Callithrix jacchus: one gene and its partners. The protein of the gene in region 3 binds, or shares a complex with, the protein of the main gene of each other region. Links are inferred from orthologs where the notes say so. Each region holds a gene or a part of one and is shown on either strand. Other genes may lie near its edges. The genes, in order: CNN1, PRKG1 and ITPR1.

Region 1 (3,793 bases), on a different chromosome or scaffold from region 3:
CAGGCTACAGGGAGATGAGGGAGTTGCTGGCATATGGAGGCACTTAAAGTCAACAGACTGAATGAGGCCAGGCGCTGCAGCTCATGCCTGTAATCCCAGTATTTTGTGAGGCTGAGGCAAGAGGATCACTTGAGCCCAGGAGTTCCAGACAAGCTTAGGCAATACAGTGAAACCCCATCTTTACAAAAAAACAAAAGATAGCCAGGTGTGGTGGTGCACACTTATGATCCCAGCTACTTGGAAGGCTGAGATGGAAGGATCGTGGGAGCCTGGGAAGTTGAGGCTGCTGCAGTGAGCTGTGATTGTACCACTGCACTGTAGCCCGGGTGACAGAGCCAGACCCTGTACCAGAAAAATAAAAGACTGGACAAGATCATTAAAGGGGTCAGAGAAGAGGCCCCTGTGGGCTCCCTGCTGTCTACAAGAGAAAAGGATGCTGAGACACTGGAGGGTAACATGAATTGTTTAAAAAAAGGCCATTCTGGGCCAGGCACCATGGCTCAAGCCTCTAATCCTAGCACTTTGGGAGACCAAGGCAGGCATATCACTTCAGGTCAGGAGTTCAAAACCAGCCTGACCAACATGGTGAAACCAAATATCTACTAAAAATACAAAAAAATTAGCCAGGCAGCAAGGCTTGGGAAATCCTGGAGACTCAGACACACCTTGGATGAGGAGGCTTTTTGATTGGGACCTGAGTCTAGCTCCCTGCCCCATTTATATGTGTGCTTGGGTGGTTTGGAGGGGCTGTAGCTGAGAGCTGACGGCAGGGAGAAGTGACTGGGGCATGGCGTGGCCCCTTGTGGTCATCCTGACACCATCCTCCCTCACTGGGCTGGGCTGGGTAGGGAGTAGGGGGACACCTTTCTTAGCCCCTCCCCACTCTTCTCAGATTCATCAATAAGCTTCAGCCAGGCTCTGTGAAGAAGATCAATGAATCAACCCAAAACTGGCACCAGGTAAGCCCAGCCCCAATCTCTTCCATCCTTGCCCACACACCTCAGACCTCCACCAGCCCCCCAGTGACCATCGCCTGCCCCCCTCTAGCTGGAGAACATTGGCAACTTCATCAAGGCCATCACCAAGTATGGGGTGAAGCCCCATGACATCTTTGAGGCCAATGACCTGTTTGAGAACACCAACCATACACAGGTGCAGTCCACCCTCCTGGCCCTGGCCAGCATGGTGAGTGTGGGTGCAGGCTGGGCAGGGGGCAGTGGGCAGCCCGGGCTGGGATGCACGTATGGCCACTTGTGCCCCCGAGCTCAGTGTGGCCCAGGCGTGGTGGCTCACGCCTGTAATCCCAGCACTTTGGGAGGCCAAGGTGGGCAGATTGCTTGAGGTCGGGAGTTCAAGACCAGCCTGGCAACATGCTGAAACCCCATCTCTACTAAAAATACAGAAATGAGCTGGGCATGGTGGCACATGTCTGTAATCCCAGCTACTCAGGAGGATGAGGCAGGAGAATCGCTTGAACCCGGAAGGCAGAGGCTGCAGTGAGCCGAGATTGAGCCACTCCCTGCACTCTAGCCTGGGTGACAAAGCGAGACTCCATCTCATAAATAAATAAATAAATAACAGTGTCCATGGGGACCGTGCAGCAGGGCGGCCCCCTCGTCAGTCCCTGCTCTCCCTGCCCCACCCAGGCCAAGACGAAAGGAAACAAAGTGAATGTGGGGGTGAAGTATGCAGAGAAGCAGGAGCGGAAATTTGAGCCAGAGAAGCTAAGAGAAGGACGGAACATCATCGGGCTGCAGGTACATCCCTATCCTCTCCACGCAGAGGTCAAGGAGGCCAGGAAGGCAGGGTGTCTGCAGGCTTTTGGGGACGAGATATTCAGCCTTAACTATACTATAGGCCAGGTACTGTCCTTATCCACATCTTCTATTCACAAACTCACTCACTTTGCCAACACCCCTAGCAGAGAGATGTTGTTATCACTATGCTCATTCCATGAATGGGAAAACAGGCCCGGAGAAGCTGGCTCACTTTTGCCCAGATCTTCCAGCTGATGCGTGGCAGGCTGAGACTGGAATGCTGGAAGTCAGTCATGTGATAGACCTAGTCTGAGCCTCAGTTTCCAGTCTGGAAACAGTGCCTCAGGCAGGGTGCAATGGCTGACACCTGTAATTCCGGCACTTATGGAGGCTGAAGCAGGAGGACTGCCTGAGGTCAGGAGTTTCAGACCAGCCTGGGCAAAACAGAGAGATCCCGCCACTGCCATCTCTACAAAAAAATTTAAGAATTTAGCCAAATGTGTGGTGGCTGAAGTGAAAGCATCACTTGAGCCCCAGGAGTTCAAGGTTATAATGAGCTATGACTGCATCATTGCACTCCAGCCTGGGGGACAGAGTGAGACCCTGTCTCTGAAAAATAAAAATTGGCTGGGCAAAGTGGCTCATGCCTGTAATCCCAGCACTTTGGGAGGCCGAGGCGGGTGGATCAACTGAAGTCAGGAATTTGAGGCCAGCCTGGTCAACATAGTGCTACCCTGTCTCCGCCAAAAAGACAAAAATTAGCCAGGCATGGCAGCGAGCAACTGTAGTCCCAGCTACTTGGGAGGCTGAGGCAGGAGAATCACTTGAGCTTGGGAGGTGGAGGTTGCAGTGAGCCAAGATCATGCCACTGCATTCCAGCCTGGGCGACAGAATGAGACTCAAATAAAATTTTTAAAAAATTAAAGAAGAATAGAATAAAACAAAATAAAATGTAAAGATAAAATAAGGCTGGGCGTGGTGGCTAACACCTGTAATCCCAGCACTTTGGGAGGCCGAGGTGTGTGGCTCATGAGATCAGGAGTTCAAGACCATCCTGGCCAACATGGTGAAACCCCATCTCTACTAAAACTACAAAAATTAGTTGGGCGTGGGGGCACTGCCTGTAGCCCCAGCTACTTGGGGGGCTGAGGCAGGAGAATTGCTTGAACCAGGGAGTCGGAGGTTGCAGTGAGCTGAGATCACACCACTGTACTCCAGCCTGGGCAACAGAGCCAGACTCCTTCTCTAAATAAATAAAATAAAATAAAATAAAACATGAAAACAGTGTCTCATCCTCTCATATCAGCCACATCTCATGGCCCATGATGAGGTAATTCTTGGTGTGATTCTCCTTCTGGCTTTGTAGATGGGCACCAACAAGTTTGCCAGCCAGCAGGGCATGACGGCCTACGGTACCCGGCGCCACCTCTACGACCCCAAGCTGGGCACAGACCAGCCTCTGGACCAGGCGACCATCAGCCTGCAGATGGGCACCAACAAAGGAGCCAGCCAGGTGAGAGGGGCCCCCTGGGGCACACTGTCAAGGCCCAGGACCCGGGCTGCCCCATGGCCTGACCACACCACCCTTCGCAGGCCGGCATGACCGCACCAGGGACCAAGCGGCAGATCTTTGAGCCAGGGCTGGGCATGGAGCACTGCGACACGCTGAATGTCAGCCTGCAGATGGGCAGCAACAAGGGCGCCTCGCAGCGGGGCATGACAGTGTATGGGCTGCCTCGCCAGGTCTACGACCCCAAGTACTGCCTGACGCCCGAGTACCCTGAGCTGGGGGAGCCTGCCCACAACCACCACACACACAACTACTACAATTCCGCCTAGGGCCGCAGGCTTTCCCTGTCTTCCCCCGAGGGAGGCTGCTGCTGCTCTTGGCCGGACCCAGCCAGGCCCAGCCAACCCCCCAACTCCCTGCATGGCATCCTCCAGGCCCTGCAGAACTCAACCTCTACAGGGTTAGAGTTTGGGGAGAGCAGACTGGGGGGCCCATCGGGGGGAAGGGAACCCTCCACTCTGTAGTG
Region 2 (3,793 bases), on a different chromosome or scaffold from region 3:
ATTGGTTAAAAAACACTGTATTCTGCTGTTATGACATCTAGTTGGGAAATGCTTAGAAAAATATATTTTGTGTTTAGGAAATCAGGTACAATAACAGTAGGGGACTTTTGTTTGTAATACTGTGGTAGAGAATAGAATCTCCAAATTTAAAATACACATTTCTTCTTTGTGCCAGAGAGGAAAAAACAATGCTAGTTGGTATGAGTTGCAAGAAACTGAGTTCAATGAATTCAGTTTCTTATGTCACAGCGTTGTCAGGTAAATAAAATTAAGTTTCAGAAACAACTAGAAAGGAAAAGCCTAATAAGTTTATATTCTGTCTTTGGATGTTCCTATATGCTAATTGTACTAGTTTTTACACCAATAACTTAAAAAGTAACACCCTGGCAAAATGATGTCAGGTGTTTGGAACTCTGAAACCTAAAGTTATAAGGAAAGAAGACTTACTTGTGCTTTTGAATGTCTTTTACTCCATTTTTCAAGTTCCCTAATCTTTCTGATGGATTGTCCCTAAAAATAAAATAATAGTTTTATTACATCTAATCTTTTCACATTATGATTTTTTTCAAAGATAATGTAGTTGAGATACTTACCTGCATAGTTTTTTAATTAAATTAGCAGCATTTTTGGCAATCTTCTTCGGAAATTCTATCATGTCAATTCCCCTCAGTATGATGTTATAGGTTTTCATAGGATCCGGGCCTGAGAAAGGTGGGCTGCAAGAATGAGAGACATGACAAGAGTTATTATTTTTATTTCCTACATGAGAACACTTGAATTGCTATAAACTCCACCGATGACATCAATTCTTATTTGGGGGCTTACATTAATAGTGACAATGGAATGAAAGTAGATTAAGAGCTAAACAGTGTAGAAGTCCTTCCAGGTAAATCACTTAGCAAAACCAGAAATGGGTCAAGTTTATCTGCTGTTCCCTGATTTCTTTTTACTGCTGGAGTCTAATCCCTCATGCTGTCCTTGGTCATTCAAGATGCTTCTTTCACTCTCTGACCTTTTCCACACTTACTGACTCACTCATTATACTTGAGATGAAGTCCTAAGTCATTAGGAGGGGCCACAGGAACACCAACGATACTACCCCCCCCCTCACCTCATGCCATTACCACCCTCACTCACTTGGATCCAGAAACAACAGTGTCTCTCTGTTCCACTGAAATGCTCAGCGCTTTCCTACCTCATGGTGTTATTTATCTGGCCTGAAAGGTTCTCCCCACATATCTGGCCAATGCCTCATTTTATCAAATCTCAGTGAAGTAAGTTTTATGTTGTTTTCTCCAAAAGGCCTACTCTGGTCAACCTAATAAAATCAATTAACCTCTATCAACCCACAAAATCTAACAATCTAATCTTATGCTCAAATTTAAAGTTTTCGTCCCTGTTACACTTTCATAGCACGCTTATGCCACTTATTGTACTTTGTAATTATCTTTTCATTTGTGTAGTTATTTATGTTATGTCTGTCTTCCCTTCCAGAATAGTTTATTTTCTGCTGGTATTCCCAGAGTTGAGTAGTGTTCACAGCACGTACATACTAAGGGGTCAGTAAATATTTATTGATCTAATATTTCTGTAGAATAGTACTCCTTCTATCATTTTCTCTCCGCACAGAGGACCTCATTAGATAACTTAACACTAATCATTATCTTTGTTGGTAAGGATGTAACCCTTCAGTCCTCATGAGGCACATCTGTTGATTTTTTTTTAACCTATCCATCCTTGAAGTGTAGTTTGTGGCAACTTCAGTGAGTACAAAGATGACTAAAGTGAGGTCTTTTCTTCATATTTCTCACAGTTTAGAAGGGAGATGATGGTACACCTTGACAAATGATTTCTTTGAAAATTAGTTATTCTCTTTAATACAGTTTTTGTGTGTCTTTGGGGGAGAAATCTGAATTATTATATTTTTGCCCTTCATGTTCATGTTTATTAAGAGCAGTTCAAATGATTTCTTTTTATCAAGCAGGCTTATGAGTTATTTAAAGTAAGGAGTAGCAGATTTACCTGTGCTAAGGGCTGTGATGGATTCTGCCTTGATTTGTTGTGCAAAGTGCTTTCTATTTACTTTAATATGTTATTAGCTAGTAATTGTCTATCAATTTTACATCACTTAAAAAATATATAAACATGAAAATCTATTTAGTATTGTCTTAGAATTTAAACAGTTTCTCTTTATGTGATCCTATGATTGAATATTCTCTTTATTCTCTTAAGTTAACATGCCAGTTTTCATTTTTACTTTAAAAAATGAGAAGGACCCACATCTTTGGGTTTCTGTGTTATAAATGTAATGTTTTCTAATTTATATGTTTGCTTTTATATTTAATTGCTTATCTTAGACAACTAAAATCAATTATTAAAGATGGTTTTTGTGGTTTTTATGTGATGCATGTTAGTCTAATATTCATTCAATATATAAAACAAAATTATTTAGAAGAAAGTCATTCAACACCAAAAAATATTCATAGTAATCAACGTTTGATGAACATATTTTCATAGATTTCTCTATGTGGATTGTAGACAGAATATATTATGCATATTTTAAAATTAAAAATATTCAATTTAAGTTTACTTTAAACTAAGGAGTAAAATGGAAAGAAATGCTAAATTTCAAATACATCCTCCTTAACCAATAATTCCTAAAATATTTCTCTAAAATTAAAAAAAAATTCAGACTGAATTTAGAAATTTCTCTTCTGTAATGACACATTTTAACTGCAGAATATATGTAATATTACTGATTATTAATAATGAGAAATAACTATATCTGTAGTTGTACCTACTTTCACTTCCCACCTTAATTTTTGCTGGTTTTAGTGTTATTTTAAGATTGCCAAAGCCTACAACATTGACATTCTGTTCAATTACCCAAATTTAAATTATTTGATCTAAGTATCAATTAATTAGACTCAAATTTCACCATCAATCTTTTCACTTGTTTCTCTATTCCTGAATGCTTTATTTTGATTCCTCTTTTTGTTGACTTGATTAAACAGTAGTGTTTTTGAGAAAGGCCTGGGTTCCACACTTTACATATTGTGTTTGTATTTGAAGAATAACTTACCTCAGTATAAATTACTTGAGTTATACTTTCTGTGATCCTTAGAACTATATAGTTCTTGATATACTATCTTTTGGTATTATAGATGCTGTAGAGAGGATTGAGGCCAACTGGAACTTTAACTATCTTCACTCTCAATACCACACATGCCAAGTTTTTATAGCACTGATGCCAATAAGACTATTCCTTATTAATGAATTTAGGAGATTCCACATGGACACCCTGTGGTGTTATTATTCTCAATCGGTTTCCCCCTGGTCACTGCAGATCAAAAGGATACACTTAATCAAATCTTTATGCCACGGATTTTCTATTATGTAATTAAATATGTTTTTCTCCTGTTTGTAATATTATATTCATACACATAATTCATGTATTTTTCTATTTCCTTTGACTAATAGCTTCTGTTTCTGAAATCATATCTATATCTTTTTTCTTTTTCCATTATTTTTTCCAAGCCTATCTACTATCTCCCTTGCTGGATTTTTAATTGTTACTATTCAGTTTTCTGAATTTAATTGTTACTATTCTGTTTTCAACATGACTTTCAGTTCTGTAGTGGTCCTTAGCTCTGCTAGTTACTTGTCTTCTTATTTATTAACACTTGCAAATATCTTAAAGGTTACTTTTTAGGGAGATCATGCTTTTGATAGCTTCAAAGAAATTAGAGACAAGAGTTTATCTGAATACTTTCTCCTATTTTCTTTGATTAAT
Region 3 (4,264 bases):
GTATGATAAATATACCTACAGTTGGTGAAACTCAATAGCATGACGCATGAAAACTGCATGGATCTGGGCTCAGTAAAATCAGCCTCTCCATTGAATATTATCATTATTATTACCGTATAACAGATCTTTAGGCGGCGTCAGGAAGTGCCTGTCTGGGATGCTATGGTGCGCCTGGCACCCAGTAAACACTCAGGAAACGTTTGGGGAATGAATATACGTCATTTGAGGCAAGAGAGGGCAGTCGGCTGACTGCTTCTGGGCTTAGCTCTTCCCCAACTTGAGCAGCTCGTAGCGGAGCCAGGCACTACTTGGCAGCGGGTGAAACCCACCTCGCCCTAGTCGGAGCTGCAGGAGAGCGCCCCGCCTGGACGCGCATCTCAGTAGAAGCGGCACTCTCCCGAGCCCTTATTTTTCTTGTTTGCGGTTTATTTACCTAAGCATTTACAGCACCCAGGAGCAGAGGGGCTGCTAGAGGTCGCAGATCGTATTTATTTTCTGCCTTCCAGTTTCAGAGCCGGCAAGTCACAACACGGCTCCTTAATTTGCGCACCGGAGAGGTTGGCGTTTCTTTACCTCCTGAGGGGCGACCAAAGACACAGGCAGCTCGGGCTCAAAAAAGTGCTCTCACGCGACTTGCCTGTCTCCGCTTGCGTGGACCGTCGCTCCCAGGCTTGGTTTTTCGTGCAAACCCGAGCAGGGCGGAGCAGATTAAATAAAGACAACCTCGCGCCTTTAATCCCTGACCGCAAACACTGGCGTTTTTGTGCCCCGGATTTCTGAAATTCTTGGCTCGGGGACCCAAGGCAGGAGGAGGGTGGGTAACCGCTTGTAAAAACTTCCCAAAGCAGAAATCCGAGCGCCTCGCCCCTCCCCGGCCCCAGTGACACCTGGATTCCAGGGAAGAGGGGCAACCGGAGGAGAGGCGTCCCCAAGGGTTGGGGGCACTTCCCAGGGGCGGCTTTATGGGGGGGGGGTAGCGCCAAGCCCTACCGACCTCAGTCTGCGAGACTGCTCAGCAGCATGAACGCCCCGTAGGACGTCCCTCCCCGGTCCCCGCGCGCGTCTATTTAGGGCCCAGTCCCGGCGCCCAGGAGGTTCTGGGACTTGTAGTCCCTCCCCTCAGCCTCAGGCGCCGCCGCAACCCGGGACTCGGACTACATTGCCCAGGGAGCTTTCCGGCCTATATAAGCCGCCGGGAGCCGCTTCAAAGTGCAGTAACCATGTGGATGTGCTGCTGAAGTGTTTCCTTAAGCTTGCTGGGGTGGGAGGAGAGGAGGAGGAGGAGGAGGTGGTGGTGGAGGAGGAGGCAGGGGGTGGAGAGAGAGAAAGCGCAAGCCGAGAGGAGGTGTGGGTGTTCCGCTTCCATCCTAACGGAACGAGCTGCCTCTTCGCGGACATGGGATTACCCAGCGGCTGCTAACCCCTCTCCTCGCCCTGCTGCCCCAAACCGGCGTGGCTCCCCGGGCACCAAGGTAGCGGCTGGGGCCGGGCAGAGGGCGCGGGGAGTTGGCACTGGCTCCCTGGGCGCAGAAGTTTTTGCCCCGCTTTCTGGGAGATCTTGATGGATGTGCATGCACTTGGCATGCATTTGGGGGGTTCCTTTACTGCGGGCAGTTTTTAGGGGGAGCTCATTTGAGGCTTAAAAAGCCTTAAATATCCTCGACTCTAGTGCATAGTGTTGGGGGCTCCCCATTCCGGACTGGTATGGCATTCCCCCAAGTTGGAAACTGTTGCCGCAGCTGCAGGAAATAGTTTTTTTCTTTTTTTGAAGAGAGAGGTTGTGGGGGTGTCATATGTAAGTCTGCTCAAGGAAATAATCTTTCTAAAAATGTAGCCCTCTCTTGCACTGCATGGTTGGGAGAATAATGCATGTGTGGGGAGCCCCCGTGGGGAGGGTTTTTAAAAATGGAAGAAAACCGGGGAAGCAGTGAGGGCTGAAGTGTGGACGAAGCTCACGTCCAGTGAGGATGCAGGCTTCGGATACTTGGCCACCTCGCCGGGAAACAAGTGCTTTGGGATTTGCCAAACATTTCCCTTAGTTCCAGCCTCCCGCAAGTTCGGAGTTTGTGCGTGCCTAGTCTCACTTGTCAGTTACATCCTGGAAATGAGCGTAGATACCTGTATTCTTCTCCCAAGCGATCCCACCAAACCTGCCTGCCAAGTTTGGGGAGGCTCTGCTCCAGACTTGGGTCTCTCCAGGGGAGGAGGCTAAAGAAGGTGGAAACTTGTAATTTAGAACATTTCTGTTAGAGACCCATCTTCCGCGGTCTGTTACTCAGTCTTCTTTCTTTCTAAATATTTAGGAGCTGACTGCAGAGGAGCAGGATTTGCACCCCTCGCTGGGCTTGTTTTGGCAACAGAGTGCCTGACCCGGGTCAGGTGAGTGTGGAAGCCTGAGTGCTGTAGTCAATAATGAGTTTTTGTCCTACGTCTATTTTAAGTTCTATCTAAACAGCCAAGGAAGTGGGAAGTAAGAAAAAGAAACTCCGTTGCTCAGTCGTCAAAATTTGCCTCTGCCTTTGGTGAGGGCTTTAAAGAGCAGAGGTCCAGTGGACAGTCCGTTTCTTGGACGTAAGCACAGAATTGAAGGAGCCTGAAGGTTTATGAGGGGGGCGGTGGGGAAAGGCCATTAAATGGAGCAATAAAACGGCGGCCCATTGCCGGGCTGTGCTGGTGATTTAAATTCTGAAGGATGCAGTGCGTTTCATATGCCAGGATGTGTAAGCAGTATTCACTGCCTCTCTCCTTCAGAAAATAGTTATTCTCTTCGAACTTTGAACCTGTGGCTTAATCAGAGTAGGTTGGACTCCAAGAAATGAAAGTGGTTGCTGCAAGTTGAAAGAATTAGAACTTAAAAAAGGGAAGTTAGTTGTTGAAGCTTAAGATAGTAACATTCAGCCCTTGACTCAAGCCACCTGAATGTCAAGGAATCAGGCAGGTCCCTGTTGTCTTGGGGCCTGTAGTGGAATATGAGCTGAGAGCAGCATTTGTCTGTAAACACAACAGTTTCTATTTTTTCCCCAAAATGGTCAGACTGCATTTGAAGAGTGGGAGGTTTCAACGGGTGCACATACATCACGATTGCTACAGATTTGGCCATCAGAAGTTTTTTCCCCCCGAAATGTTCAGAAACATGGTAAATAACAGGGTAACAGAGGTGGGTGGGGTGGGTGGCTGGGTCTTAGTAACGTTTTTAACATTCTAAATATTTAGCTGTTCCCTGGGCTACAATCTTTGGACTTTTTAAATGAGAAAATAAAAGTCAGATGCTTCATTATAGTGGTGTAGTGCTTTTGTTTCCTGTTGATAAGATCCTCGGGAGTACTGGCGGAGTGAGAAGCATTTGGATGTGAGAACTCTAGTTTCTTATTGGAATTCTTTTATTGACTCACATGGCTATATGAGTGCTCACAGGGCCAAGTATTGGGTCTAGTTCCCCTCTTCAGAATTAGCTGTACAACAAGGAGAACCTGGCTCACAGATTCCTTTCTAACTGGTTGGTAAAAATAATAAGATGGTTACACATTAAGTACTCGTAAGCCAGGGTCAGAGCCGTATGTCTCGGAAACCCTTTGAGTGACATACAGGTGAAGAAACTGAGATGCAGAGAGTGAAATCACTTGTCCGGTAGCTAGTATAAAGTAGGAGCAAGGTATACATACCTTCAGGCAGTGAGGCTGTACTGCATCCCACAAATGGACCTAAGTTGATTTGGGGATGGGGAGTGGTGAGAGGGAAGCTAGGAAAAATGGAAAACTTACTGCTATTGATGAAATAACCTGCTTATATCCCACCAATGATGAAGTAATACTTAACACTGATGTAAGAAGGAAAGGATATAGCCACAAATATAGGGATAAAAGAGTGCAGATATTTGAGGAGGTATTAGATGTTGTAATGAGTTCACTTTGGAAAGCCTGAATGAGGAGAGTAAAAAGAAACAACACAAAACCACAAGAAACATTATGCAAGTTAAGTATTAGGCTCATCTCCCAGCTGAAATACATCTTGATTATTTATATCAAAGCATCTGAGTAGGTGAAAGGATCAGGCGTTTCCCCTTTTGAGTAATTCGAAAGTTTAAACTGTAGTGTGCAATGTGAAACGTTGCTACCTTTTCATATACCTTCCAGTTTGCTTTGCAGCCAGTCGTGCAGACATTTCTGTTTTCCATTTTTTTCTTTCAAGTATGTGTGATTATGCATATGCACATCTAAAGAACAATCTGCTCTTTCAACAATTCAAATCCGAACAGAAAATCCTT

Evidence for each region.
Region 1: ITPR1 (region 3) and CNN1 share a complex: the UniProt entries of both Homo sapiens proteins name them as parts of the cGMP kinase signaling complex. The link is inferred for Callithrix jacchus from reciprocal best matches to the Homo sapiens genes ITPR1 and CNN1.
Region 2: ITPR1 (region 3) and PRKG1 share a complex: the UniProt entries of both Homo sapiens proteins name them as parts of the cGMP kinase signaling complex. The link is inferred for Callithrix jacchus from reciprocal best matches to the Homo sapiens genes ITPR1 and PRKG1.

What each region holds. Positions count from the first base shown.
Region 1 is NC_133523.1:10,686,903-10,690,695, forward strand, and holds part of CNN1 (calponin-1), read left to right. Parts: intron 1-892; coding exon 893-959; intron 960-1,047; coding exon 1,048-1,185; intron 1,186-1,646; coding exon 1,647-1,757; intron 1,758-3,123; coding exon 3,124-3,270; intron 3,271-3,350; coding exon 3,351-3,596; 3' UTR 3,597-3,793. UniProt on the Homo sapiens protein: Thin filament-associated protein that is implicated in the regulation and modulation of smooth muscle contraction. It is capable of binding to actin, calmodulin and tropomyosin. The interaction of calponin with actin inhibits the actomyosin Mg-ATPase activity.
Region 2 is NC_133513.1:77,911,279-77,915,071, forward strand, and holds part of PRKG1 (cGMP-dependent protein kinase 1), read right to left. Parts: intron 717-3,793; coding exon 594-716; intron 511-593; coding exon 448-510; intron 1-447. UniProt on the Homo sapiens protein: Serine/threonine protein kinase that acts as a key mediator of the nitric oxide (NO)/cGMP signaling pathway. GMP binding activates PRKG1, which phosphorylates serines and threonines on many cellular proteins.
Region 3 is NC_133516.1:61,630,756-61,635,019, forward strand, and holds the start of ITPR1 (inositol 1,4,5-trisphosphate-gated calcium channel ITPR1), read left to right. Parts: upstream 1-1,211; 5' UTR 1,212-1,472; intron 1,473-2,303; 5' UTR 2,304-2,379; intron 2,380-4,264. UniProt on the Homo sapiens protein: Inositol 1,4,5-trisphosphate-gated calcium channel that, upon inositol 1,4,5-trisphosphate binding, mediates calcium release from the endoplasmic reticulum (ER).